Anolis sagrei: one gene and its partners. The protein of the gene in region 1 interacts with the protein of each later gene in a pairwise test. Links are inferred from orthologs where the notes say so. Each region holds a gene or a part of one and is shown in the gene's direction. Other genes may lie near its edges.

The links.
Region 2: the proteins of EMILIN1 (region 1) and NMI interact in binary tests that used the Homo sapiens proteins (3 or more experiments, as listed by UniProt). The two-hybrid records come from large-scale screens. The link is inferred for Anolis sagrei from reciprocal best matches to the Homo sapiens genes EMILIN1 and NMI.
Region 3: the proteins of EMILIN1 (region 1) and ZC2HC1C interact in binary tests that used the Homo sapiens proteins (3 or more experiments, as listed by UniProt). The two-hybrid records come from large-scale screens. The link is inferred for Anolis sagrei from reciprocal best matches to the Homo sapiens genes EMILIN1 and ZC2HC1C.
Region 4: the proteins of EMILIN1 (region 1) and PLAC9 interact in binary tests that used the Homo sapiens proteins (3 or more experiments, as listed by UniProt). The two-hybrid records come from large-scale screens. The link is inferred for Anolis sagrei from reciprocal best matches to the Homo sapiens genes EMILIN1 and PLAC9.

What each region holds. Positions count from the first base shown.
Region 1 is NC_090021.1:1,919,994-1,927,594, reverse strand, and holds the start of EMILIN1 (EMILIN-1), read left to right. Parts: upstream 1-4,591; 5' UTR 4,592-5,170; coding exon 5,171-5,361; intron 5,362-7,601. UniProt on the Homo sapiens protein: Involved in elastic and collagen fibers formation. It is required for EFEMP2 deposition into the extracellular matrix, and collagen network assembly and cross-linking via protein-lysine 6-oxidase/LOX activity.
Region 2 is NC_090021.1:204,978,301-204,985,401, forward strand, and holds the start of NMI (N-myc-interactor), read left to right. Parts: upstream 1-4,082; 5' UTR 4,083-4,247; intron 4,248-5,939; 5' UTR 5,940-5,942; coding exon 5,943-6,014; intron 6,015-6,109; coding exon 6,110-6,193; intron 6,194-6,403; coding exon 6,404-6,478; intron 6,479-7,101. UniProt on the Homo sapiens protein: Acts as a signaling pathway regulator involved in innate immune system response.
Region 3 is NC_090021.1:304,973,869-304,981,213, forward strand, and holds the start of ZC2HC1C (zinc finger C2HC domain-containing protein 1C), read left to right. Parts: upstream 1-4,321; 5' UTR 4,322-4,731; intron 4,732-7,345. Other genes in the region: ACYP1 (acylphosphatase-1), read right to left, coding at 1-58, 1,129-1,329.
Region 4 is NC_090023.1:153,469,065-153,476,072, reverse strand, and holds the start of PLAC9 (placenta-specific protein 9), read left to right. Parts: upstream 1-4,005; 5' UTR 4,006-4,093; coding exon 4,094-4,151; intron 4,152-7,008.

The sequences.
Region 1 (7,601 bases):
GAGCAGTGCTGATCCGCCTTGATCCATCCGGCAGCGGAGCTGATCTGTGATGGCAACTAGCACAGTCTCCATCCCGTGCCCCATTTGGAAGCCGGACTGGAAGGGATCGTGTCCGGTTGTGTCATTTAGGAACTGCTGGAGCCCCTCGACCCGGAGACTTGATGCGGTCACCCCATAAGGCTTTCGGGGAGTAGGTCGGTCACCTGGCTGCAAGGCTACTCCATGCTAATCAAACTTGATAATTGCAACATTCACACTTGCTTCAAACAGACAAGGGCTCTTCCTCCCACCCTGGACACCATTGCACAGAGGGTGCCTCCACGCAACAGGGGGCAGGCTACCTCTAGGCAGAGACCCTCACTGATTGACTTTGCATACTTGCTTCAAACAGACAAGGGTTCTTTCTCCCACTCTGGACAAATACACCCCACTTGCTTCATTGCTGCTAAGAGGCTGCACTTGGAATCATACTTGGACCATGAGAGATCACAATCCTTTGTTACAGTCCATGCAAGGAGTGTTTTTGATAAGGGTTTCTTCAATTGCTAATTGCTTCCTCTTCAGGGTCAGGGCGGCTTCCTTATATTTTATACATTTTTTCGAAGGAAAAGGGAATGGGGCCAAAGGGTCAGGAAAAGATCAGATACACAGGGAGGAAATATAGAAATACAGAAATCATGTTATAGAAATCATATCTCTTCATCCTGCCACCCAGTGTCCCATAGGGAAATTGATAGAAGCCTTGATCATGGCCCAATATTAATTCATAGTTCATTTCAGGAAGATCCATGGATGAAAGTAAGTCCATGATGGAAAAAGAGGTCCATAAAGTGTGGCAAAAGGTCCAAAAGTCATTAAAAGGGGCCTGATGATTTCCACTGAGCCAAGAAATGGAGCCCTGAGGCGCTGAGGTCGAAGCTGTCCTTGGAAAACTATAACTCCTTCCAAGGACTGGAGCCCGGTGACCGATCTGCTCCCCGAAAGCCTCATGGGGTGACTGCATCAAGTCTCTGGGTCGAGGAGGTCCAGAAGGACGAAGAAACAGAGATGGCAGTGGTAGCACAGCAGCAGCGAAGCTTGGATTTGACAATCAGCTGTTTTCCTTAAAAATATATTCTTAAAAATTCAAAGGTTATTCCCCGAACGTAGAGGCCCGAAAAGCAAAAAAGCGAGATAGCAGATAGTGTTAGAATTTAGCTAGGAAAAATATGGCACCAAAATGGAGTTGATTCGTCAAGTCGCGGATACGGGGGCCCAAGGGGTTTCCGTATCCGCGGCTTGAAGAAACACAGATTCGGCCTCCCGCGGCCCGGAAAAGGTAAATTTATGCTTTTTAGCTGAGTGAGTCAGGAAAAAGACACAAAGTATCATTCTGAAGAGATAAAGGTTACAATTCAATTTATTTATTTGTCGTGTCAGAGCAACCAGTCCATTATATATTACATTTCTAACAGAAACAAAGCAAACAGACAGAAAAATACACAACTTGTGAGTTTGGTAGTTGATTAAATGTCCTTTGACCAGTATCTGTCCCCTTGGAGTGCCTCTGGTGTTGCCGCAAGAAGGTCCTCCATTGTGCATGTGGTAGGGCTCAGGGTGCATTGCAGCAGGTGGTCAGTGGTTTGCTCTTCTCCGCACTCGCATGCCGAGGATTCCACTTTGTAGCCCCATTTCTGAAGGTTGGCTCTGCATCTCGTGGTGCCAGAGTGCAGTCTGTTCAGTGCCTTCCAAGTCGCCCAGTTCTCTGAGTGCCCAGGGGGGAGTCTCTCATTTGGTATCAGCCATTGGTTGAGGTTCTGGGTTTGAGCCTGCCACTTTTGGACTCTCGCTTGCTGAGGTGTTCCAGGAAGTGTCTCTGTAGATCTTAGAAAACTATGTCTAGATTTAAATCGTTGGCGTGCTGGCTGATACCCAAACAGGGGATGAGCTGGAGATGTCTCTGCCTTGGTCCTTTCACTATTGGCTGCTACTTCCAGGCAGATGTCAGGTGGGGCAATACCGGCTAAGCAGTGTAATTTCTCCAGTGGTATAGGGTGCAGACACCCCGTGATAATGAGGCATGTCTCATTAAGAGCCACATCCACTGTTTTAGCGTGGTGAGTTGTGTTCCACACTGGGCATGCATACTCAGCAGCAGAGTAGCACAGCGCAAGGGCAGATGTCTTCACTGTGTCTGGTTGTGATCCCCAGGTTGTGCCAGTCAGCTTTCGTATGATATTGTTTCTAGCACCCACTTTTTGCTTGATGTTCAAAGCCTCATGGGGTGACCGCATCAAGTCTCTGGGTCGAGGAGCTCCAGAAGGACGAAGAAACAGAGATGGCAGTGGTAGCGCAGCAGCAGCGAAGCTTGGATTTGACAATCAGCTGTTTTCCTTAAAAATATATTCTTAAAAATTCAACGGTTATTCCCCGAGCGTAGGGGCACGAAATGCAAAAAGTGAGATAGCAGATAGTGTTAGAAATTTGCTAGGAAAAATATGGCACAAAAATGGAGTCAATCATTCAACTCACGGATACGGGGGTGCTGAGGGGTTTCCGTATCCGCGGTTTGAAGAAACGCAGATTCGGCATCCCAGGCGGGCTGGTGGTCTCCCGCGGCCCAGAAAAGGTAAAATCATGCTTTTTTAGTTGAGTGAGTCAAGGAAAAGACACAAGGTATCATTCTGAAGAGGTAAAGCTTACAATTCAATTAGTCTTTATTGAGGGATTGGTTACATTGTTTGGGCTGGGGAAAGAAGCGAAAGGAGAGAGCGCAAGGCTGCAAAGAATCCCTGGTTGAAGCTGCTTCTGGGGCACATTTCATCAGTCTTGGCTCAACTGGGCATCCAGGAACTGCGGAACTCCCTGCGGCTGGTCAGATCAGCTTGAAAGCAGGGGGCTGGGGTGCCCTCGGCATCACTCAGACCACGAGGGATCACCTAAGTCAGTAAGGCCAGGAGCAGGAGCTGGGGAAAGAAAAGTGGGGTGCAAGGGATCACGTAAGCATCTCGCTTGTTCTTCCCGTAAGGAGGCAAGAGATCTTGGAGTCCTCGTGGACAACAAGTTAAACATGAGCCAACAATGTGATGTGGCAGCAAAAAAAGCCAATGGGATTTTGTCCTGCATCAAGAGGAGCCTAGTGTCTAGATCTAGGGAAGTCATGCTCCCCATGCTCTATTCTGCTTTGGTTAGACCACATCTGGAATATTGTGTCCAATTCTGGGCACCACAATTCAAGAGAGATATTGACAAGCTGGAATGTGTCCAGAGGAGGGCGACTAAAATGATCAAGGGTCTGGAGAACAAGCCCTATGAGGAGCGGCTTAAGGAGCTGGGCATGTTTAGCCTGAAGAAGAGAAGGCTGAGAGGAGATATGATAGCCATGTGTAAATATGTGAGAGGAAGTCACAGGGAGGAGGAGGGAGCAAGCTTCCTTTCTGCTTCCCTGGAGACTAGGATGCAATGGAAGAATGGCTTCAAACTACAAGAAAGGAGATTCCACCAGAACATGAGGAAGAACTTCCTGACTGTGAGAGCTGTTCAGCAGTGGAACTCTCTGCCCTGGAGTGTGGTGGAGGCTCCTTCTTTGGAAGCTTCGCAACAGAGGCTGGATGGCCATTTGTCAGGGTTGATTTGAATGCAATATTCCTGCTTCTTGGCAGAATGGGGTTGGACTGGATGATGGCCCAGGAGGTCTCTTCCAACTCTTTGATTCTATGATTCTATGATCTGAACATGAGGAAGAACTTCCTGACTGTGAGAGCCGTTCAGCAGTGGAACTCTCTGCCCCGGAGTGTGGTGGAGGCTCCTTCTTTGGAAGCTTTTAAGCAGAGGCTGGATGGCCATTTGTCAGGGGTGATTTGAATGCAATATTCCTGCTTCTTGGCAGAATGGGGTTGGACTGGATGGCCCATGAGGTCTCTTCCAACTCTTGGATTCTAGGATTCTATGAGGAGACAAGGTGAGGGCCAGGGATCCAGAGGTGAGGCCGGGGAAATCATAGGGAGGAGGGAGCAAGCTTCCTTTCTGCTTTCCTGGAGACTAGGATGCAATGGAAGAATGGCTTCAAACTACAAGAGAGGAGATTCCACCAGAACATGAGGAAGAACTTCCTGACTGTGAGAGCCGTCCAGCAGTGGAACTCTCTGCCCCGGAGTGTGATGGAGGCTCCTTCTTTGGAAGCTTTTAAGCAGAGGCCGGATGGCCATTTGTCAGGGGTGCTTTGAATGCAATATTCCTGCTTCTTGGCAGAATGGGGTTGGACTGGATGATGGCCCAGGAGGTCTCTTCCAACTCTTGGATTCTAGGATTCTATGATTCTAAGAGGGCCGAAACAAAGGCCTCCCTGTCTGAGATCGGAGCGATACGCGCACACATACACACATGGAGTCAGGCAGGCAAGCATCCCTTGGGGCCGTCCAGACAGAGGCCTTGCTTGCTGGAAAACCCCAGTTGGGGGGAGTGCGGAGAAAAGGGTGGCCAAAGCGCTGAGGTCACTTCCTGCCCGCTTGCCTTGGCCGTGCCAAGGGGCCAGGCCATAGCCTTGGTGGTGGCCCCCTCCCATGTGTGTGTGTGTGTGTCCCTTTGACCGGGGACCCTTTCTCCTCTCTCGGCCCCCCTTCTGCCATGCCTTTGGCCCAGAGCGTGTTCCTGTCCCGACTGTAACGAGAAGCAGATGTTGGTTTTGCAGCCGTGGAGGGAAACTCTTGCAAAGCCAGCAAAGGGGATGAGAGGGGGATGGAAGGGGAAGCAAGGCACGTCCTGGGGTAGGAGGGAGCTGCGGCAAAGTGGGGCTCCTCTCGGGGAGAGGCATGCTCCAGGACAGGAGGGTCAAGGGGAGTCCAGCAAGGCCGGACGGCCGGACAGCCAGCCTGGGAGTGTAGGCAGGCAGGAAGTCAGGGGAAGAGCAGAGCAGAGCAGCAGAGAGAGGGAGGAGGGAACTACAACCTCTGGGAAGTCCTTGCAAAGCTGTCAGAGTGTGAGCAGCACCAGCAAGGCTAGGAGCACAAACTGACCAACTGGACGCCTGGCTGCTTGACTGCTTGACCATCCTCCATCCAGATCAAGTGGACACCAAGGTGGGCCTTGCCCCTGACCGAAGAAGCAACAGGAGCAACACTGTCCCTGGATTTGTGCACCCGAGGGAGAGCCAGGCCATGCGCAGCTGACCAGTGGCACAAGCAAGACCAGGATGGCCGGCACCGCTCTGGCCGCCTGGCTCTGCCTCTGGTTTGGCCTGCTGGCCGACACTCCGGCGCAAGCCATGAACTACCCTCCGCGGTACAGCCTCTACACGGCCGGAGCACTCCCCTTCGGACAGCACCAGGCCAACGCCAACCTCGCTCAGGGTCATAATGGGGCACGGGTGGCCAGCCGGCACAGGTAAGAGGGTGGCTTCTTTGGTGGGACCCCAAAGCAAGATGGGGATGGGAGAGGAAGAAGAGGGCAACCTGTGGAGGCAAATGGGCATATGGAGTGGATGGACAATGGAGGAGAGTGCCATGTATGGCCCCCTGGGAAGGTGGGTCAAGGTTGTGGCCTGAGCCAAAGTGACCGCTTCAGGCAGGCAGCAAGAGGGACATCACTCCAAAACTTCTCAAGAACTATGGGCAAGGCAGACCTGGAGGAAGCAGAGCCGAGCAGGGGAGGCTTGCTTGCTTTCTTTCTTTCTTTCTTTCTTTCTTTCTTTCTTTCTTTCTCTCTCTCTCTCTTTCCTTCCTTTCCTTCCTTCTTTCCTTCCTTCCTTCCTTCCTTCCTTCCTTCCTTCCTTCCTTCCATCTCCTCCCTTCATTCCCTTCATCTCCCTCCCTTTCTTCCTTCCTTGTCCTTCTTTCTTTCCCTTTCTTTTTCTTCCTTCCTTCTTTTTTCCTTTTCCTTTTCCTTCCTTCCCTCTCCTTCCTTCTTTCCTTCCTTCCTCAGTCACTCTGGGTAGAGATGGTGGGTTAAAAATAAAATTTATTATATCATTATTCTTTCTTTCTTTCTTCCCTACTTTCCTTTCTTTCCTTCTTCCCTCCCTCCCTCACCCTTTTTTCCTTTTTACTCCTTCCTTCCATCCATCCATGCATCCATCTCCTCCCTTCTTTCCCTTTTCTTCCTTCCTTCTCCTTCCTTCTTTCCTTTTCTATTTCTTCTTTCTCCTTCCTTTTTTCCTTTTCCTTCTCTTCCTTCCTTCCCTTCCTTCCTTCTTTTCTTCTTTCCTGAGTCCCTCTGGAGATAGATGGTGAGATAAAAATAAAATTTATTATATCATTATTCTTTCTTTCTATCCTACTTTCCTTCCTTTTTTCCTTCCTTCCCTCCCTCCCCCCTCCTTCCTTCCTTCCTTCCTTCCTTCCTCCCTTCCTTCCTTCCTTCTCCTTCCTGTTTTCCTTTTCCTTTTCTTCCTTCCCTTCCCTTCCTTCTTTCTTTCATTACTTCCCTCCTTCCTGAGTCACTCTGGAGAGAGATGGCAAGTTAAAAATAACATTTATTATATCATTATTCTTTCTTTCCTACTTTCCTTCCTTCCTTCCTTCTTTCCTTTCCTCCTTCCCTCCCTCCCCCTTCTTTCCTTCCTTCCTTCCTTCCTTCCTTCCTTCCTTCCTTCCTTCCTTCCTTCCAAGTCCCTCTGGAGAGAGATGGTGGGTTAAAAATAAAATTTATTATATCATTATTCTTTTTTTTCCTCTCCTACTTTCCTTCCTTTCTTCTTTCCTTCTTCCCTCTCTCCCTCCCCCTTCCTTCTTTCTCCCTCCCCCTTCCTTCTTTCTCCTTCCTTCCTTCCTTCTTTCCTTTCCTTTTTCTTCCTTCTTTCTCCTTCCTTTTTTCCTTTTCCTTTCCTTCCTTCCCTTTCCTTCCTTCTTTCCTTCCTTCCCTCCTTCCCTCCCTCCTTCCTCTCTTCCTTCCTTCTTTGAGTCATGGAATTATAGAATCTTAGAGTTGGAAGAGACCTGGTGAGCCATCATCCAGTCTAACCCCATTCTGCCAGGAAGCAGGAAAATCGCATTCAAACCACCCCCAGCAGATGACCATCCAGCCTCTGCTTCAAAGCCTCCAAAGGGCCACAATGTCCAAGGGCTTCCTTGAAGGCTTGAGAGGTCCAGGCAGAGAACCCAGACCAATTAGTCCAGCCAGGGGCCAACTTGGGCCCTCCCTCCCTCCCTCCAGGTGTTTTGGACTTCAACTCCCACCATTCCTAACAGCCTACCGGCTGTTAGGAATGGTGGGAGTTGAAGTCCAAAACACCTGGAGGGAGGGAGGGCCCAAGTTGGCCCCTGGCTGTCTTCGACCTATGAGACCACCCACCTGGTCTCCTTGGCCCTTCTTCCTTGCTGGAGGGAGGAAGCAGAGCAAGATTGAGGAAGGGGAGAGGAAGTAAGGGGAAAGGGGTTTGGAGGCAGGCCAGGACTGGGGAAGGGTTGGATTTCTTTGATGAGGGGAGGGGGACATGTGCAAGCAATGAGGAACCCCTTTGCAAGCCTCAGTCTCCCAAAGAGGGAGAGGGTCATAGAATCCCAGCTTTGGAAGGGATTCCTAAAGACCATCCAGTCCAGCCCCACTTCTGCTGGGAAGGAAGGCACCATGCATACCCTCCCGACAGATGACCATCCAGCCTCTCCTTAGTACTACTACTACTACTA
Region 2 (7,101 bases), about 200 Mb from region 1:
CATAATAATACTTGGTAAGATGGTAGGTAGAGTTAAAGTAGTTTCCATTTTTGGGGGATGCATCTACATTGTAGAATTAATGCAGTTTTACACCACTTTAACTGCCATGGTTCAATGCTATAGTATCACTGGGGTTATAGTTTTACACATTCTTTAGCCTTCTCTTCGAAACAGTACTGGTGCCACACCAAACTACAAATCTCAGGATTGCACTGCTTGGAACCATGGCAATTAAAGAGGCTCAAGATATTCTATATACCTTGGATCAGTCATAAAGAAAAATTGAGACTAAAGTCAAGAAATCAAAAGACTAGGGGTGGATATAGAATGAAGTGTAAATGCGTCCTTGATCACAACACATAAACTAACCCTTAAATATTTATAGTAAATTTGTAAACTTTTAAAAATGTGTTGAAGTTATAAAAATTACACTCCAAAAGATATCTGTTCAGAAATAAGCTACACTGAAATTCAATGAGACTTATGTTCACATGTGTATATACAGGTTGAACATCCCTAATATGGAATTCTGAAATACTCCAAAACTAAAAAATTGTCCACATGAGTGGCTGAGATAGTAGTACTTTGCTTTTTGATAGTTCAGTGCACAAAAAACTTTGTTCCATGCACAAACTTTTAAAAACTATGGTATAAAATTACTTTCAGGCTATGTGCATAAGGTATATAAAACACGCATAATGGAAAAACAGATATTCCAAACGAAACCCCTAAACAACACCAAAATACCAAATACTTCTCGTTCCTGTATTTCAGATAAGAGATATTTAACCTGGATGCATGTAGGATTGCAGTCTCGCTGTAGTCCTAATAAAGAGCTTCTTTCTGGAGGATTCATTTCATTTTCAATGCGTAGACTGCCCCCATATGGAAACAACTGCAGAATCATGCTAGGGTAGGGTTTTTATTAAACCATTAAAAACATAACATTCAGTAGACAAACCAAAACACATGTAACTGACACTTAACTCTGGTCAGCAAGGAGTTTACAAGACAGCTACACCCAGGAAGGAATCAAAGGCCATTTCTTATCTCAGCAAATGCAAGCACAAACAAGCAAATCCCACTGCTGCTGAAGTTCACAATTTACACACACACACACACAGGCACAACTCTCTCCCTTTTTTTAGGGAGAGAGTTGGAGCCCCCGGTGGCGCAGTGGGTTAAAGCCCTGTGCCGGCAGGACTGAAGGTCAGTGGTTCGAATCCGGGGAGAGGTGGATAAGCTCCCTCTATCAGCTCCAGCTCCTCATGCGGGGACATGAGAGAAGTCTCAGATATTCACACCATGGCTCTTGAAATGATAATCAATTCTTACTGATCCCAAATAGTTATATTTGGCTTTTTTTGTGAGTAATAACAGCTACAATTATTTCACTGATAAAGAACATAAACCAACAACATAGAGGAAACCAGTAGCAATTCTGTGTGCTATGGTTGGTGCCAGTTCACTGTAGCAGACTCACAGGGGCACCAATGGGTAAATATCTTAATCAAGGGCTTCGTAACTTTGACTTGGGACCCCTTTTGGCCTGAGAAAATTTTATGTGACCCCAGATATCTATCTATACACATAAAAAAGTGAAAATATGTATGTTTATGTGTGGCAGGGGTGTCCACTTGCACAGACAAGCTCCTGCCTCCATAAATGGCTATAACTTCCATCACGCATGAGACACCAATGGCCCTCCCTCCAATAACATTGCAAGTTATAGTGAGTGCCATGAACATTTACAAGAGGCTTGCCAATGTTCTCCACAAACACCATACTGCCCACCACCAAGTGAATGCTTTCATAAAGGGAAAATCTCTTCCTAGATTTTGTTTTCCCTCCACCATAGACATCTCATTGTTTCTGACTCTCTCTATTGGTGTGGAATTTGCATGATCCCGCCCACTGCCTTTCTTACTCTTCTCTATGGCACACAGCAAACGGAGAAACTGATCAGAAACTGAACATACTGGAAAGGTTTGAGGGATTGACTCAACATGATGGAAGTTGTCCAGGGTGAACTACAACTTCCATCATGTTGAGTCAATCCCCCAAACCTTTCCAGTATGTTGTTTCTGATCAGTTTCACCCTGTTTGCTGTGTGCCATAGAGAAGAGTAAGAAACCCTGCTGGGCACAAATGGCCTTGATAAGCCAGAGGTTTGCTGGACCCTACCCTGCCTATTGACATCAGCACTTCCCTTGTACATGGTGGGTTGGGAAGAAGGGTTCCTACTGATAAGAACTGGGCCGAGTGTGGTTGCAGGGTGGAGACATGGAGCATGGTGGGAAATTGTCTGATTAACACCCAAAAGACGGCACAGCATTGTGAAATATAAAAGCCAGTGTATTGTCATTGCTTGGGGTTCCTCAATTTTGGTGGCATCACTGGAACACCAGTTCTCTTTATTTTTTCTACCTTTTCTGAGTTTTTCAGAACATAACTTTCTGAGAGCAAGAAATGCCTGGTTATTTTGCTGGCTGTCTCTGAAGCTGCTTCTTTTAAGAGATTGGAGAGTTTAGTTGTATTGATCTGCATTATATAGATCTACAATGTCTATATAATGCAGTCCCATAGAATGGGGTTTAGCTGCATCGAACTGCATTATATGGGTCTACACTTATATAATGCGTTATATAACGGAGTTTAATTGCATCAGACTGCATTACACAGGTCTACACTGACTATATAATATAGTTCCATAGAATGGGATTTAGCTGCATTGAACTGCGTTATATGGGTTTACGCTTATATAATGCCACACAATAATGGAGTTAAACTGCATCAAACTGCATTACACAGATCTACATTGACTATACTGTATAATATAGTCCCATATAATGGAGTTTAATTGCATCAAACTGCATTACACAGGTCTACACTGACTATATAATGTAGTTCCATAGAAGGGGTTTGGCTGCATCGAACTGTGTTATATGGGTCTACGCCAGTGGTTCTCAACCTGGGGTCCCCAGATGTTTTTTAGCCTTTAACTCCCAGAAATCCTAACAGCTGGTAAACTGGCTGGGATTTCTAGGAATTGTAGGCCAAAAACATCTGGGGACTCATAGAGCAGTGGTCCTCACCCTGTGGGTCCTCAGATGTTTTGGACTTTAACTCCCAGAAATCCTAAAGCTGGTAAACTGGCTGGGATTTCTGGGAGTTGTAGGCCAAAACACCTGGGGACCCACAGGTTGAGAACCACTGGTCTATGCTTATATAATGCCACATAATAATGGAGTTTAACTGCATCAAACAGGTCTACACTGACTATAGAATAGACCATAGAATGGACTTTAGCTGCATTGAACTGCATTATATGGGTCTACTTACATAATGTCCCATATAATGGAATTTAACTGCATTGAATTGCATTATATGGGTCTACACTGAGCAGACCCGTAGCCAGGATTTTGATGGGGGGGGGGGGTGCTGAGTTTGAGGGGGGGGGAGTTTGATTTAAGGGGGGGGGGGCTGAGGATCTACCCATGCAAACCTTTTGTATTGTTACCCCAATACCCCCATGCATATAGGATATATTGAGCATGGTGGTCAGATTATGATATGAATAAACATAACAGTTTAAATAATATACCAGTAAGGCCTTTTCGCGGACCACCCTGAGAATTTGGCGGGGGGGGGGGGGGCTGAAGCCCCTCAAGCCCCCTTCCCTTGGTTACATAGCACTGACTATATAAAGTAGTCCCATAGCACTGACTATACAAAGTAGTCCCATATAATGGAGTTTAGCTGCATAGAAGTACAGTATATTACATGGGTCTCATATAATGTCCCACATAATGGAGTTGAACTGCATTCTATGGGTCTACACTAATTATATGGTATGGCAGTTTATATATGAATGCTGAACACTGGCTAGGGGCTAATCTTGGCTCCTGTTTCTGCCTGAGGAGTGGCCCAGTTTGTGTTTCCTCTCAGTCCTCCACTATAACTCCCATCCCTCCTGCTAGCTAGAGTCTCTGGGAGTCCCAAAACACCCCCCCCCCCTTTGCGTTGCATCCAGGGCACGAGATAGGGAGGAACCTCTTGGAATGGAAACCGAAAGCAAAGGAGGCAGCTGGCCTTGCCTTCCTCCGCCTCCTCCCGCTTTTTCCCTCCCACCTGGTGGTTTCTTGGAAAAGACTGCAGCTCGTTGCTTTCTCTTTCCTGCTTGGCGTCCCCAGGACTTTCCTCCGGAGCCCAGCTGCGACTTGATCAACTGCAAGCACTCTTTGTAAGTAAGTCTGGGTGGTGGCTTCTCTTTCCTAGGAGCAGGCTAGATGTTTATAAAGAAGGCAAAGGGTGTTGGGGTTCCCCTTTCCTGTTAGGAGATACTGATTGTTCCATCTTTTCTGTCTTGAGAGCAGGAAGCTCCCAGGCATAAAAGAACAGCAACAACAACAACAAAATAACAAAATTGTGTTGTATAAATTGGATATTGTTTTTGCTGGCTTATAATGTCTTTTATATCTGCTTGGGGATTGCTATGCACTTCCTGAGACTTTTACTTTTGGTTTTAGTTTACTAAGCTTCTGGTGAATCAGTGAATATAACAAATCATCCTTGATGTTGATGCTACTTGTTGGAGCAAAGTCTGTGAGGACCAGGAGAAAACAAACTCAAATGGCTTTGGTAAAACAACCCTGAGGTCCCTTTCACAATATGCAATTAGAGTGTTAACCATTCCACTTCAACTACCCTGGTTCCATACTATGGGTTCCTGGGATTTGCAGTTTAGGGAAGGGCCAAAGATCTCTTTTGGTTGTGTATCCCTTATTCCAAAATCCTCCAAATCCCAAAATTGTCCACCTGGGTGGCTGAGATAGTGACACCTTTTATGACAGCAGATTGAGATAACACCATAAGATTGATTTATCTTTGCATAGTGGGCTCCATGGGTTATAATAATAACAACAACTTTGTCTTGTCGAAGGCTTTCGTGGCCGGAATCACTGGGTTGTTGTAGGTTTTTTCGGGCTATATGGCCATGCTCTAGAGGCATTCTCTCCTGACGTTTTGCCTGCATCTGTGGCAGGCATCCTCAGTGGTAGTGAGGTCTGTTGGAACTAGGAAAAAGGGTTTATATATCCGTGGAATGACCAGGGTGGGACAAAGGACTCTTGTCTGCTGGAGCTAGGTGTGAATGTTTCAACTGATCACCTTGATTAGCATTTGATGGCCTGGCAGTGCCTGGGGCAATCTTTTGTTGAGAGGTGATTAGGGGTCCCTGATTGTTTCCTCTCTGCTGTTTTGCTGTTGTAATTTTAGAGTTTTTTGATACTGATAGCCAGATTTTGTTCATTTTCATGGCTTCCTCCTTTCTGTTGAAATTGTGTATAACTTTATTTTTATATACCGCCAACCATCTCCTCTAGGGGACTCGGGGCGGCTTACAAGGGACATGCCCAAGATTACAATTAAAACACACATGTAAAACACTTTAACCAATTAAAACATCAGATAAAACAAATAACACAATAGGAAGCAATATAAAAACAATATGGCTGAAAGAAATATAGTCAAAAGTGCACTGGAACATCCAGGTTTTTAGTTGACTATGAAAGGAGGACAAGGTGGGAGCCTGTCTGATCTCCCTAGGGAGGGAGTTCCAGAGCCGGGGGGCCACCACTGAGAAGGCTCTCTTCCTCGTCTCCACCAAACGTGCATGTGACAACGGGGGGAGAGAGAGCAGTGCCTCCACAGAAGATCTCAAGGTATGCACTGGTTCGTAGGGGAAGATGCGATCGCAAAGATAAGCAGGTCCCAAACCGTTTAGGGCTGTTATGATGGTTTTTTCCCCAGAGAAGAGACAATTCAGTTTAGGTTTAGACATTAGAATAAACACATATTGGCAAAAAGGCCCTTGATACAATAAAACCATTAGAAGAATAACACTGTGATATTTGTGTATATCTAACTGTGCTCTGTAGAATATGGAGAAAAGTGACATTCAAGGGACACTTGTAAGCAAAATGGAACCACTTAAAGAACCAGCACAATTCAAGGTAAGTTCTGTCAAATACTTCTACAGTTTCCCATTGGAACAGTCAGTGTTGTGCATGATAGATACTATTTATGTATTTCTAACTTTATTTGGCAGAGCGCAGAGGAAACTGAAACTCCAGAAGCAGTTATGAAAAAGACAGGAAATCTTTCAGAATTGGAAACGTTGATGGCAAATGCTGTAAGTAGTACTCATGTAACTCTAAACAAATTCAAAGCTTTCTACCTTAATTTTTATGTTTCATCCTGAACAGGGAATTTACTGGGCTTTATGTTTTACTACTTTGTGTGGGGAAAGAGTCACCACATCCTTTTTTTGAAAGTATGAAAAAGATGAGTTGTGCTGCCCCAAGGAATTTTTTTTAATTTTCCTTTTAATTTCTGTGTGTAGAGCATTGAAGAACACAAGACTTCAGATGTACTTACAAATGAAACTGGAAAACAGAGAGAATTAGAAAAATTGAAGGTGAGCACAGTAGATGTGGAGGATAAACTCTGTGCATCTGTTTTTTGAAAAGTCTGCCAGCAGTGTTTTGTCTGAAGCATTGAAATGTCTGCCATGGAATACTGGTTGTGAAGTGATTTATAGTTTCCAAGTTATGACCTCCCTGAACAGCTGCAAGCTGAATAACACGTGTCCCAGAAGCAAGCAAAATACAGCAGAGTCCTTTCACAGCAAAGGCATACTTCAACCAGTCTGTCAGTAGAGTCCCAACTGCCAGCATCTAGCCACCTCTACACACTGTTTAGTAAACTTGCGGATTCAGGTTTTCATTCAAAATATCTGGAGCCCCCGGTGGCGCAGTGGGTTAAACCCTTGTGCTGGCAGGACTGAAGACCGACAGGTCGCAGGTTCGAATCCGGGGAGAGGTGGATGAGCTCCCTCTACCAGCTCCAGCTCCTCATGCGGGGACATGAGAGAAGCCTCCCACAAGGATGATAAAACATCAAATCATCCGGGCGTCCCCTGGGCAACGTCCTTGCAGATGGCCAATTCTCTCACACCAGAAGTGACATGCAGTTTCTCAGGTTGCTCCTGACATGACAAAAAAAAATCAGAATATCAGGTGGCTTTAATTTTCACAGTTG
Region 3 (7,345 bases), about 300 Mb from region 1:
CAGTGCCTTGGTCAGTGTTCTGGACCCAGCCAACTACACCTAGTTTTTTTCCTTGAGCCTAAAGGAGAAAAATCCATATACAGAATATCTCCTGAAGAAGATGCAATGATCTGTCTGAATACAGAGAAAAGTATAAGCTGCCTTTTTTTTATAAGAATCGATTTCCTTAAAAGAGTAAAAAAAAATGCTGTTCAACTCGTTTCTGTTATCAACCCTCTATCCCCACCCCTGGAAATGCAAAATGAATATATTTTAAGCTACTTTGGGTGTCTTTAGAAATATAAAGTGAGACATAAATAAATAATAGCCAGACAGCTGATTCTAACAGCATTAACCTTGAATGTTTCTGCTCTTAAGTAGGGTCCCTTCAACGCTGCCCTATATTCCAGGACCCCATAATAATAATAATAATAATAATAATAACAACAACAACAACAACAAGTTTATTTGTACCCCGCTACCATCTCCCCAAGGGACTCGGTGCGGCTTACATGAGGCTGAGCCCAAATACAACAATACAGACAATAAACAACAATACAAGCCATTAAAAATAAAAAAAGATAAGCAATAAAATATACAACATTATCACTAAGACAACACACAATTAAAAACAGTGGGAAGGCCAAATGTAAAGTTAAAATTGGAAATAATGTTGGGATAATGTTTATCCCAGATTATATGGCAGTGTAGACTTATATAATCTAGTTCAAAGCAGATACTCTGGGATCAGATCATGGGATATTGGGCAGTGCAGATCCAACCTCAAGGCCCTTCCACACAGCCATATGACCCAGAATATCAAGTCAAAAAATCCACAGTATCTGCTTTGAACTGGGTTATCTGAGTCCACACTGCCATATATCCCAGTTCAAAGCGGATAATGTGGGATTTGATTCAGGTGTGTGGAAGTGGCCTTAGCCTCACTCAACTCAAGTAGCCTTAATTTATGTTAGTCCAGGTATGGGAAAACGTTGGCCCTCCAGGTGTTTTGGACTCCAACTCCCACAATTCCTAACAGCCGGTAGGCTGTTAGGAATTGTGGGAGTTGGAGTCCAAAACACCTGGAGGGCCGAAGTTTGCCAATGCCTGTGTTAGTCAAACCCTTGACATGCCAGGATGGGCAGATACCTGTGTGTATTTGCGGAAAAACACCTCTTGCACTTTCCCGAACACTTCGTAATCGATTGACACGAGTCCATCTCCCTCAGCCATGGTCAGCGGTCCCTGGATCAAAAGTAAAAGTGCCATTAGGCCAGAGAGATAACGCAGATACAGAGCCCATATCCCCCCACCAGCCCCCAGAGATGGCTCCATGAGGAGAGCTGGCATGTCCTCTGAAGGGGGAAGTCGAAGGCCAAATGTCAAGGCAAGGGCAGAGGGTAAACCCTGCCTTCATTTGCATCTTCATGCATATGTAAAAAGGGGGCGGGGGATCGCTTTTGGCACCTGCAGGGTCTTTGGGGCCGCCTGAACGTATACCCGACAGCCTCCCTTCCTCAGAAGAGGGGCCGCCTTCCTCAGCCAATCAGCAGCCAGCTCGCGCGTTCAGGGTTCTAACCGCCACTAACGGCTCGACTGCGAAACCACAGAGCTGGCCTCCGTCTCTGACTAGAGAGGCCCCTCCCTAAGCCGTAGTCCGGAAGTGAGGCTGTTAGGAATTGTGGGAGTTGAAGTCCAAAACACCTGGAAGGAGGCCCAAAGTTTGCCTATGCCTGGTATATACATACACACACAAATATACTATATATCAGGCATGGCCAAACTTTGGCCCACATTCCAGGTATTTTGGACTTCAACTCTCCCAATTGCTAACATCCAATAGACTGGGTTGTTGGCGATGTTCCATAATAATAATAATAATAATAATCTTTATTTATACCCCGCCACCATCTCCCCAATGGGGACTCAGAGCGGCTTACATGAGGCCAAGCCCAAATGATAATTACAATAAAGAAAAACCAAAAACACAAACCGAAAACACGAACAATAAACAATAAAATCATAGTTGCATAAAACATATGAATACATAACAATATTAAAAAATATGCACAGGCACAATAATAATAGGCAGGCTACATGTAGTGATTAAAAAGACAAACTGATGAAAACTGATTAAAATTCTCTCCTGACGTTTCGCCTGCATCTATGGCAGGCATCCTCAGAGGTTGTGAGGTCTTGTTAGAAACTAGGAAAATTGGGTTTTTTCAACAGATCTTAGAGGAGGTGTGGTTTTAAAAAGGGAATTTTCAGAGATGTTCCTAGTGCCTATATTTATTTATTTCCAGCATTTATATCCCGTCCTTTTCAACCTCCAAAGAGGGACTCGAGACAACTTACATTTGGCACAATTTGATGTCATTAAATATAACATAGCGATATAACAACAATTAAAACAATAAATAGAATATTAATTAAAACAATAAAAATAGTATTAACCGCTGTATCACCATTCCAGTCTAATTCCATATCCAAAGTGCTATTTATGCCTGCTGTCCAAAAGCCTGGTCCTAGACCCACGACTTAAATTTCTTCCTAAAAGACAGGAGGGATGAAGCCAATCTTACCTCGTTGGGAAGCAAGTTCCACATGCAGGGGGCTACAGCCGAGAAGACCCTGTCGTTCGTCCCCGCCAGATGTATTTGCAACACTGGCGGGAGCGAGAGCAGGGCCTCCCTGGATGATCTTAAACTGCAAGGCGGGACTTAGTGGGAGATGCATTCGGACAAGTAAGCTGGGCCAGAACCGTATAGAACTTTATGGCTCAAAACCAGCACTTTGAATTTAGTTTAGAAGTGGATTGGTAGCCAGTGGAGCTGACACAAGAAATGGGTGGCGTGCTCCCTGTATGTTACTCCAGTTAGTAATCTGGCTGCAGCCCGTTGGACTAGTTGAAGTTTCTGAACAGTCTTCAAAGGCAGCCCCACATAGAGTGCGTTGCAGTAATCGATTCAGGATGTAACAAGATGTGCACCACTGAAAGATCTGAAAGAGACCTCTTTGTTGCTCATTAGTTCAGACGTTTCCGACTCTTGGTGACCTCATGGACCAGCCCACACCAGAGCTCCCTGTTGGCCGTCACCTCCCCAACCTCCTTCAAGGTCAATCCAGTCACTTCAAGGATACCATCCATCCATGTTGCCCTTGGTCAGCCCCTCTTCCTTTTTTCTTCCTTCCCCCCCAGCATAATTGTCTTCTCTAAGCTTTCCTTTCTTCTCATGATGTGGCCAAAGTACTTCATCTTGGCCTCTACTATTCTTCCCTCCAATGAGCAGTATTTATTTATTTATTTACTTTATTTATATACCGCTTTTCTCAGCCCTCAGGCGACTCAAAGCTGCGAACAACATCGATACAAAGCATCACGAGACAAGTATAGGGCAATTAAAAACAATTGTAACATAAATCATTAAACATCAGAATAACAATCATTAGTGCCTCAACAGTAAAATCAGAATCCAGTCTCATCATACATTATTCCATTCCTATGTTCAATGACATTGTTTAATCAAATGCTTGTTTGAACAGCTAGGTCTTCACTTTCCTCCGAAACGCCAGCAGGGAGGGGGCCGATCTGATATCTGCAGGCAGGGCGTTCCACAGCCGAGGGGCCACAACCGAGAAGGCCCTGTCTCTTGTCCCCGCCAAGCGTGCCTGTGATGCAGGCGGGACAGAGAGCAGGGCCTCCCCAGATGATCTTAGTGTCCTAGTCGGTTCATAGGAGGAGATGCGTTCGGAGAGTAGCATGTTCCAGAGTAGTAATGAGATCACTGACAAAGAAACAGCAAGAAATACTGTTTACCGCCACAAGCATAAAGAAATTACATATATTATTTATTTATTTATTTATTTATTTATTTACTGTCCTTGTATACCGCCGTTTCTCAGCCTAACTGGCGACTCAACGCGGTTTACAACAAAATATACAGTGCACAGTATACAATTAAAACCATAAAAAACATAATACACAATATTACACGAAATCACAAAATCACAATCCAATACATCTCCTAACTAAAATCGTGGTCCAATTGCATCATCCATATTACCAATCCGTAATCAACACATTCATTGCACCGAATTAACCAAATGCCTGTTTGAACATCCAAGTTCAAGTCCAACCCAAATGGACTTCAACTCCCAGTCTCCCCTGCCACTACAGTGAGCGTCAAGGGATTATGGGAGATGTAGTCCAGCGGCGCCTGACAGGCCCGATTGGCACTTCGCGTAAAAAGGCAGAACAGGAATGGCTAGGCGGCATGTGCGTGAGCGTTGCTAGGCAACAGAGGTAAACAGCCTACCCAGAGAATCGGGGTCAGAAGGTTGGCGCGGCAGCGGAGGGAAGCAGGGAGAGGGGGCGTGGCGGCGCGCTAGCACACGTTGCCATAGCGACGTGGCCGCTCTTTGGGCCTCGCGGCGTTTCGAGGCAGGAGATCCATGTCTCCTCGTTATCGGTGGCGGGTAAGCCCTCCGGGCAGTTGCTAGGAGAGGACGCTTCCGTTGTGTGACGATGCTCTAACTCGCTGCCCGCCTGCCTCCTGAACGAGATGGCTCTCGATAGTAAACACACCAGAGTGCGAGCGCCCTTGAACTAGAGACGTCACCTCCACTTCACGAAAATTAGCATAACTGCGACCTGAGGCTCCTGCCAAACCCAGGGCTCGTTTCTTCAGAACCAGAGGCCAGAACCAAACGCCCGTTTTCTTGCTGTACGTTTGAACGAACCGCACTGGGGTAAGTCATCCCTGAGGGAAGACCTCTGTCTTAACCCTTTGGCTGGCTTTATTTGCAATATATACCAGGCCTGGGAAAACTTGAGCCCTCCAGAGGTTTTGGACTTCACTCCCACCATTCCTAACAGTCTCAGGCCCCTTCCTTCCTTGGGCCCTCCAGGGTTTTTATTATTATTTATTTATTTATTTATTTTATTTACTTTACTTGTATACCGCAGTTTCTCAGCCCAACAGGCGACTCAACGCGGTTTACAACAAGGATAAGAATCAATCAACGATATATAATTTAAAACCATAAAAGCATAATATACAATATTGACACAACAATAGACAACACAATGCATCTCATAACTAGAGTCGTGATCCAATCCGTCGTCCAAATTTCCATTCCTGTAATCATCACATTCATTGCACTGTTTAACCGAATGCCCGTCCAAACATCCAAGTTTTTAATCTTCTTCGGAACACCATTAGCGAGGGGGCTGATCTTACCTCCATAGAAAGGGCGTTCCACAGCCGGGGGGCCACCACAGAAAAGGCCCTGTCTCTCGTCCCCGCCAGCAGGGCCTCCCCAGAAGATCTTAGGGTCCTGGTGGGCTGATAGGCAGAGATACGTTCGGATAGGTAACTTGGGCCAGAACCGTTTAGAGCTTTATAGGCCAACGCCAGCACTTTGAATTGAGCCCGGTAGCATTATTATTATTATTATTATTATTATTATTAATTTAGGAACTAACGGTCCCCTGCCACGCATTGCTGTGGCCCAGTCTGGAGATCTGGAAAATAATTAGAAAGTGTTGGTTTCTCATATATGTAATTTCTTTATGCTTGTGGGTAAACAGTATTTCTTGTTCACTAGAGTTAAAAAAAACTCTAAAATTACAACAGCAAAACAACAGAGAGGAAACAATCAGGCACATCTAATCACCTCTCAACAAAAGATTGCCCCAGGCACCAACATGCCACATCGCTTCACTTCACTTTATTTCTTAATTAGTCGCTCTCCACCAAGGTGCTCCGAGCGACTTACAATCTAAAATAGCATTTACACAATATAAAAACATTCAACATAAAAACATTCAACAACATCAAACAACTGCCAGGCCATCAAATGCTAATCAAGGTGGTCAGTTGAAACATTCACACCTAGCTCCAGCAGACAAGAGTTCTTTGTTCCACCCTGGTCATTCCACAGATATATAAACCCATTTCCCTAGTTCCAACAGACCTCACTACCTCTGAGGATGCTTGCCATAGATGCAGGCGAAACGTCAAGAGAGAATGCCTCTAGAACATGGCCATATAGCCCAAAAAAACCTACAACAACCCAGTATTCCTTGTTGTTTCTTTGTCAGTGTTGATGTAGAGATTGTCTGGTTTGCCTACTCTGGAACATGCAACATATTATTGTCCATCTTTAGGGGTCCCTTTCAAATCTATGAGACTATATCTGTCATATACATATGTGTGTGTCTCTGTGTGCGTGTGTATCACATATATCTATCTATATCTATGGCTGGATGGCTCTTTGTCAGGAGGCATTTGATTATGTTTTCTTGCCCTGGTGAAGGAAGTTGGACTGGATGGCCTTAAGGCAGCATTTCTCAACCTGGGAGTCGGGACGCCTGGGGGGGTTGCAAGGGGGTGTCAGAAGGGTTGCCAAAGACCACAAGAAAACACAGTATTTTCTGTTGGTCATGGGGGTTCTGTGTGGGAAGTTTGGCTCAAGTCTATCGTTGATGGGGTTCAGAATGCTCTTTGATTGAAAGTGAACTATAAATCCCAGTAACTACAACCCCCAAATGTCAAGGTATTTTTTCCCCACACTCCGTGTTCACATTTGGGCATATTGAGTATTCATGCCAAGTTTGGTCCAGATGCATCATTATTTGAGTTCGCAGTGCTCCCTGGATGTAGGTGAACTACAACTCCAAAACTCAAGGTCAATGCCCACCAAACCCTTCCAGTGTTTTCTGTTGGTCATGGGAGTTCTGTGTGCCAAGTTCGGTTCATTTCCATCATTGGTGGAGTTCAGAATGCTCTTTGACTGTAGGTGAACTATACATCCCAGCAACTACAACTCCCAAATGGCAAAATCAATTTTTTGAGTGATGGTTATTCCTTGCTTTAGATGTCTTGTGGTCAAATTTGGCAGCAATTCGTCCAGCGGATTTTGAATTATGATGTCACTCAAAACGAACAGAGCATTTATTTACACGCACACACTAGCTGTGCCCTGCCATGCGTTGCTGTGGCCTATAGTAAGAATTTTCGAAGTAGAGGTAGATATCTGGACTATTATGAAAGGGCATTACTTACCTATTCCTTCCCTTTTTCTTCCCCTTCCCCTTTTTATCCTTTCTTCCTTCTCTCTTTCCTCCCTTCCCTCCCCCTTTCTCTACTTTTTATTTTGTCTCCTTTCTTCCATTTCCTTCCTTCTTTCACTTTTTATTTCCTTTTCTCCTTCCTTCCTTCCTTCCTTCCTTCCTTACTTACTTACTTACTTACCTCTTTCCTGCCTTTCCTTACCTTTTCCTTTCCTTTCTACTTTCTCTTCTTCCTTCCTTCGGTACCTCTTTCTTTCCTTCCTTCTCTTCTTCCTTCCTTCCTTCTTT
Region 4 (7,008 bases), on another chromosome or scaffold:
GCACAGACTTATTCATCCCGGTAAATGGTCTCATGGCGTCCACAAAGGTCTGGTTAATGCTAATTAAATGGAACTGCAAAAGCTACAGTGTCCCATCCATCAGAAATTTAATTTTTCCCCCTAATGATGCTCTGAGATGTGTTGTACCTTATAAACATTTCACAAGTGTTGCAGAACTGATGCAGATACAACAAAATGTCCACAAACAGATTTACTATCATTGTCTCACTCTCACTCCTGGTACCTCAAGTTTGCTCTCTTGAACCCCATTTCCCTTTGAGGTCACTTGCCTGTGACATGCTGGTGCCTGCTGAGTAATCTCAAGCTCCGATTCATTTCAGTGAGACAAAAGAAATGAGAACAAATAAATGTTTGGAGAGAGTTCTCATGAGAATTGCTTTCCTCTTGTGCTTCCATTTAGCTGCCTGATTGGTTTCTTTGATCTTTGTATTCTGTGTTTCCTTGGCTCCATCTGTTTACATTCTTCCATCAGCTCTTTCAGGGTTTTAAAAGGAGGATAAGTGCTCAAGGAACTCTTATTGGGGGGCGGGGCTGGGATATATAGTGCTCTGTAGTAGTGCATTTTTGCCCATTAATGGATTTCATTCAACCTTTTTATCACGTGTTTTCTGTACAGTTTCAGTAACAAGCCTGCATTATGCGTGTGCATTTTGTAGTCACCCCCTTTATCCTATCTTTGCCCAGGTTTTCAGGACTATGTAGATGGGCCCTTAGAACAGTAACTGGGAGATGGATCCGCATCATAGGCTGCAAAGTGTTATTGCACATCTAGGAATAAAGGGCATTTCTACCAGCACTACCCCACCCAAACTGATGTTGTGCTCTATCAGCATCTTGCAGGATTTTAATTGATATGTGGCAGTTGCTTAATAGCCACATATATGTGCTCTCTTAACATTTCACCGCTTACATAAGAACACTGGCAGTAGCGTTTATGAGGTATTTTTTGGGTACTGGCATTTCTGAAATATGACAACACTGGATTTTGTTCAGACCTCTTATTTATATGATTTTGCTCATTCCTTCAATTACCATATTTGGTCTAAAGACACCAAGGAATGCTTTCTCTCCATTTTCCGAACAACAATTCTGCCAAAAAATCATTGGTATTATTTTAAATTAGAAATATTTTCTGAGATCTTTTCTTTTAAGACACTGGCATGTTTTACTATTATTTATACAGCAATAGTAACACTTGGTTACTGAAAGGGAGAAGTCAGTACATAGTAATCAAACATACTTCTGCAAAGATGCGATATTAAACACTGAAACTGGCCTTATAATGTTCTGGTGATAAAACCTTATGAACCAAATGCCCATGTCTGTGCTGTTCAGTTGTGAAAGACACTGTACCCTTTAAATCAGCTATTGATAATTTTACACGGTAAAACATAAGCTCATTGAAGGCGTTATTTAAGGCAGTTAAAATAAAATATCAAGGAGAGGGGCACACTAGCTAATCCATGACCATCCATACTGCAAGTGAGAGTGAAACAGACAGTGCGGTTGGTGCATTAATTCAACAATGTAAATGCAGCCTATGATTCTAACCTATGGTGTTCTGGAATTATATTAAAAATTCCCAGCCAGAAAATACTAATTCATCTCTAAATAAGAGGATTTCTGAATCACTTCCGCATCCTTGAAATCAATCATGCAAGGTGATTCAAAACTATAGGGGACTACAGCCTTGCGGAAATGTGGCGGAAGTCCCTTTGGAAGGCAAAAACATCCATTTTTTTCTTGAATTATGCCACACCTGAACCTATCCAACCCTATAATCTATCCTTGACTCCTTCCCCACAGAGGCCTAATCTTATATCACAGGAAAAGTCCCCATCTGCACCTGAAGAAGGCCCTGAAGGCAGAAATAGACTTTTCCCTGGTTGCTAAGGAATGGACATTGGAATCCTAAACATCCTGTCTCCACCTCTGTAGCTGCTGGCACTTCTCTGTGATCTGTCTGCTCTGTGGTCTGCAAATCACCCTGATCACACACAGACTTGTGAATGGGAAACCCATCATCCCCCTCATCCTCTGAGAAAGAGGAATCCTCAGCATCTTGCTCCTGAACCCCAACAGAGAGAGTGCGACTTGCCCAGGATCACCCAGTAGTCTTCCCTAGCCAAGTGCAAATTTGTAATCTGAAATCTTAGAATAATAGTCCAACATTCAAACTGAAGTATCACAGTGACTCTTCAATTCAAAGTTGTTACATTAAAATATTTCTGAAGGTAGCAACATGCTAAATGTTTAAGATATCTGCTAGTAATAATTTTTTTTTGTTATTCTACAGCACTGCCTAGAAGCCATTCACTTAAAAGGTTAAAATAAGAATCAGTCACAAATTAACAAACCGAGCCTGACACAAACTACATCTCCTTGTCTACTAAAGTCACATTACACAGTGAGCAGTTTCAAAATTCTGGAATAAGGTGGATGACAGGAGCCCAAGTATTCAGAATGTGGAGCAGGGATCTGTCACAGTTATATATAAAACTAGCTGTACGTGCCACGTTTTGCTGTGGCCAACCTTCCCTCCCTCTTTCTCTCCTTCTTTTCTTTTCTTTTCTTTTCTTTTCTTTTCTTTCTTTCTTTCTTTCTTTCTCCTTCCTTCCTTCCCTGTTTTTCTTTCCCTTCTTCTTTTTTCCTTCTCCACCTTTTTCTTTTCTCACTTCCTTTGCTCTTTGGTTCCATCCTTCCTTCCTTCCTTCCCTCCTTCCTTCCTTCCTTCCTTCCTTCCTTCCTTCCTTCCCTCCCTCCCCCTCCCTCTTTCTCTCCTTCTTTCCTTCCTTCCCTCTCTCTTTCCTTCTTTCTTTCACTTTATTTCCTTCTCTCCTTCCTTCCTTCTCTACCTTTCTTTCTTTTCTTCATTGTCACCTTCCCTCCTTCTTTCCCTCTTTTTCTCCTCTCTTCCTTCCTTCCTTCCTTCCCTCCTTCCCCTTTTCTGTGTATATGTGTTGTCAGAGGCGGCCCTAGGTAATTTTCAACGGTAAGCAAACAGTATTTTGCCCCCCCCCCCCCAACCAATCATTGATATATATTTTCCATTCGTCATAGGAGTTCTGTGTGCCATATTTGGTTCAATTCCATCATTGGTGGAGTTCAGAATGCTCTTTGATTGCAGGTGAACTATACATCCCAGTAACTACAGCTTGCATATGTCAAGATCTATTTCCCCCCAAGAGCGCCTCAAGAGCACCCCTGGGCAAAATCAACTATACTGCAAATGCTTATTTTGCGTAATGGGTTGGGCCGCCCCTGTGTGTTGTGTGTGTATATATGTGCATATATGTGTGTATATGTTTATGTATATGTGTATATATGTGTTTGGGTATATATGTGGTTTTGCGTTGTAATGTCTTTTTGTTTTTTGGCTTGTAAGCCTCTTCCACTGTGTTTTTCAGTGTTTTTATGAGTGATGGTCACTTGTTGGCCTGATAGGTGCATTGTGTCCAAATTTGTTGTCAATTCGTCCAGTGGTTTTTAAATTATGTTAATCCCACAAATGAACATTACATTTTTATTTATATAGATGTCATAAATAGTATAACATTGATGTTCAGGATAGGGTAGATTTTACATCTAAATAAACAAATAGTGTCAAGACTTTCAGGAATATCACATAAGATTGTCCTTTACAGCGTGATTAAAAAACCCAGAGAAAGATGCATGTCAGTTGCGTTACACTTCTCTCACTTGGATACATCCAGCACAGCTCTTTTGGGCACATTCCATTCATGCACAGTATAAATAAATAGCAAACCTTTCCCCCTTTGCTGTAATAAAGTTGACCTAAAATAAGCTTGCCTGGGTGAGCGGATTCTGTGTGGAATTTGAAGGTTAGTTTGGTTTGTTATGAGGAAGGGAGGGAGGATGAGAGGCTGCTTAAGAAAACTGGTGGAGCCAGAAGAAACTGTTTCCTCCCAATTCTCCAAGCTGCCAGTCCAGCCCTTCTGTTTTTTTCTCTCTCTCTCTCTGCAGAGGACCAGTGTGCTGGGGAGGAGAGGCTGCTTATTTCTCTGCATCTGCTGAACCAGGAGAGACGCCTTCGGAGGGAAACTTTGAAACCATGCTTTACATTTGGCCTCTGCTTTTTATTTTCATGTTGAATACATCAGAAAGGCTGGGTAAGTGTTTCAAATCTTGGAAAGATTAGGATTTTTTTTTCTACAGGAAATGTAGAGTTAATGTGAAGTGTATTTATGTGTGCATCAACTCTGTGTAGATTGTATCTTTTATAGAGATAGATCTGCTTTCCAAAATAAAGTAATACTCTTAAGCTTTTGGCAATAATTGTAATACTGTCAACAAAGTGAGAGTAAGGTTGTGCTACCCAGAACCCAATACACCTTTGTGGATATGAATGTCACTTCAAGAACAGTTCATCTGGGGAGAACTACTTTCTAAATATGAAGCATATAAGATTATAAGAATCTTATAAACTTAATTCTTGGAGGTTTCTCCTCCCTTGGCTAATAATGCTTTGTTTTTCTCAGCTGAATGTTTTATAGTATTAGACGTGTATATAGATGGGGAAAATGTGTTCATAAAAATGTGGAATTTAGGAATGTGTGCACAGAAATGTTTTCATGATGACCTTGTGTTAGGTAGTGCTATTACTGTGGAATCAAGCCAAACTGAAGCACTGAGAGAAAGATTCAATCCTGTACTTGCCATCAAGTTCTCTCTAGCACCATATTTCAAATTATGTATTGTCGAAGGCTTCCATGGCTGGAATCATTGGGTTGTTGTAGGTTTTTCAGGCTATATGGTCATGTTTTAGCAGCATTCTGACGTTTCACCTGCATCTATGGCAGGCATCCTCAGAGGTTGTGAGGATCTCACAACCTCTGAGGATGCCTGCCATAGATGCAGGTGAAACGTCAGGAGAGAATGCTGCTAGAACTTGGCCATATAGCCCAAAAAACCTACAACAACCCATGTTTCAAATTATTTGGATTTTTTCCTTTCTGTTTTACTTACTGTTCAACTTTTGACAACCATACAAGTAAACCAGAAATACTATGGTGTGGATAATTTGGACTCTGGTATTCAGTTGTCTCTCTTATTTAATTTCTTCATAGCTAAACTTCCAACTTTCTAGTTGTTTTTCATGACACTTTCCATTTTGAGAAGTGTCTGAGCCAAGATTAGAAAATTTGCAAGTATGAGTATTTCAATGCAGTTTAAAAAATCAAATAGCCCCCAACTAAGATGAACATCAATAATTTCCCTTTTGTAAGCACCAAGGATTTAAAGTCATAGCCAGCATGGTCCACACCTTGGTTACATCCAGACTGGACTATTGCAATGCGCTCTATGTGGGGCTGCCCTTGAAGACGACCTGGAAGCTCCAATGGGTACAACGGGCGGCAGCCAGGCTCCTTACTGGAGCAAACTATAGGGAGCATACAACGCCCGTTTTAAAACAGCTTCACTGGCTGCCGATAAGTTGCCGAGCCAAATTCAAGGTGCAGGTTATGACTTATAAAGCCCTAAATGGTTCGGGCCCCACCTATCTTCGCGATCGCATCTCCCTCTATGAACCGGCGTGAACTTTAAGATCTTCCGGGAAGGCCCTCCTTTAACTCCCACCACCGTCACAAGCACGGTTGGTGGGGATGAGAGAGAGGGCCTTCTCAGTGGTGGCCCCTCACCTCTGGAACGCCCTTCCTGGGGAAATAAGACAGGCCCCATCCCTCCCCTCCTTTCGTAAGAGCTTGAAGACCTGGTGGTTTAAGCAAACCTTTGAGAACGACTAGTTTTAGCTCTGCCCCAGATTGTTGAAATTGGTCATATCTTCTTCTAGCAATTACCCAGGCCATTCTCTTCTGTTAGGCTCTGGAAATGTACAGCCATAGACATGTACAGCCATAGACTAATTTCCCGGGCCCTCTAAAATTGCAGTAGCCCGGCCCGGCCTTTTAAACTGCCTTGATCAGACATGATTATTTTAAATGTATGTGCTATTGTGGTTTTAATGCTTATACTGTTTTGTTAATTTTATGTTTATGCCTTTTTTCTTGTATGTATTGATTATGTTACTTGAAAACCGCTCTGAGTCCCCTTGGGGAGATAGAGCGGTATATAAATAAAGTGTTGTTGTTGTTGTTGCTGCTGCTGTCATTGCTTTTAGCTTAGTCCAGAGTACGATTTCCAAAGTCTAATACAGAATAGGCAATTTATCCTCAAAGGATAAGCAATCAAAAGTAAAATTTAATGAATGCAGGCCCAAAATTTTAGGCATGTTTAACATCATGTGTTGGATTGTTTCTGAAGGATGCCATATCCTTCTCAAGTTTGCACACTACTATTAGCTATGTTATTGATCTGCCTGGGCAATAATAGTGTTCTTTCCATAGAATAATATGGAAACAGATGCCAAGCACATTCTAAAAAAGGCAAATTAGGCACATGTTATATAGGTTTCATGCAGTGATCCCAATAAAAAGGTGTTTCTGTTGTTGCAGTTATCAGTTAGCTCTCTTTGTTCTGGATGGTCTGGCAATGGGAAAAAGTGCACCTGAAGAATGTCTCATTTCCTGCTGAAGTTTTGTTCAGCTAAATTAGAGGTTTATATTCCCAGTATAACCACAAAACCATGTTCTACAGGGTATCTGTGTTCTCCGTTTTCTTTACTCCCAAACTAACTTCACAGGAACACATAAAATTCTGCTTTTTTATGAGACAGGGGTCAGGTTTTTATGAAGACAAGTCACAAACTGGGTGAGCAAAACGATGGTGAAGGACTGGGCACTCTTTTATTCTGAATTTGCTGAATTTTACCTCTTGCAGTTATATTTTTCCATGGGCAAATCATTATTTTAAATGTCTTTTTTCTGTTCTTGAGGACGTGCAGCCAGTTTGGGAAAATACAGTTATAGTGTACAAGCTATAAATAAGTGATGTTATTAATATCTTCTCCAGGGAGTTCAGTTCTTACAGGCTTATTGGAAGGATTACAACAAAATAATGTATGGGAAG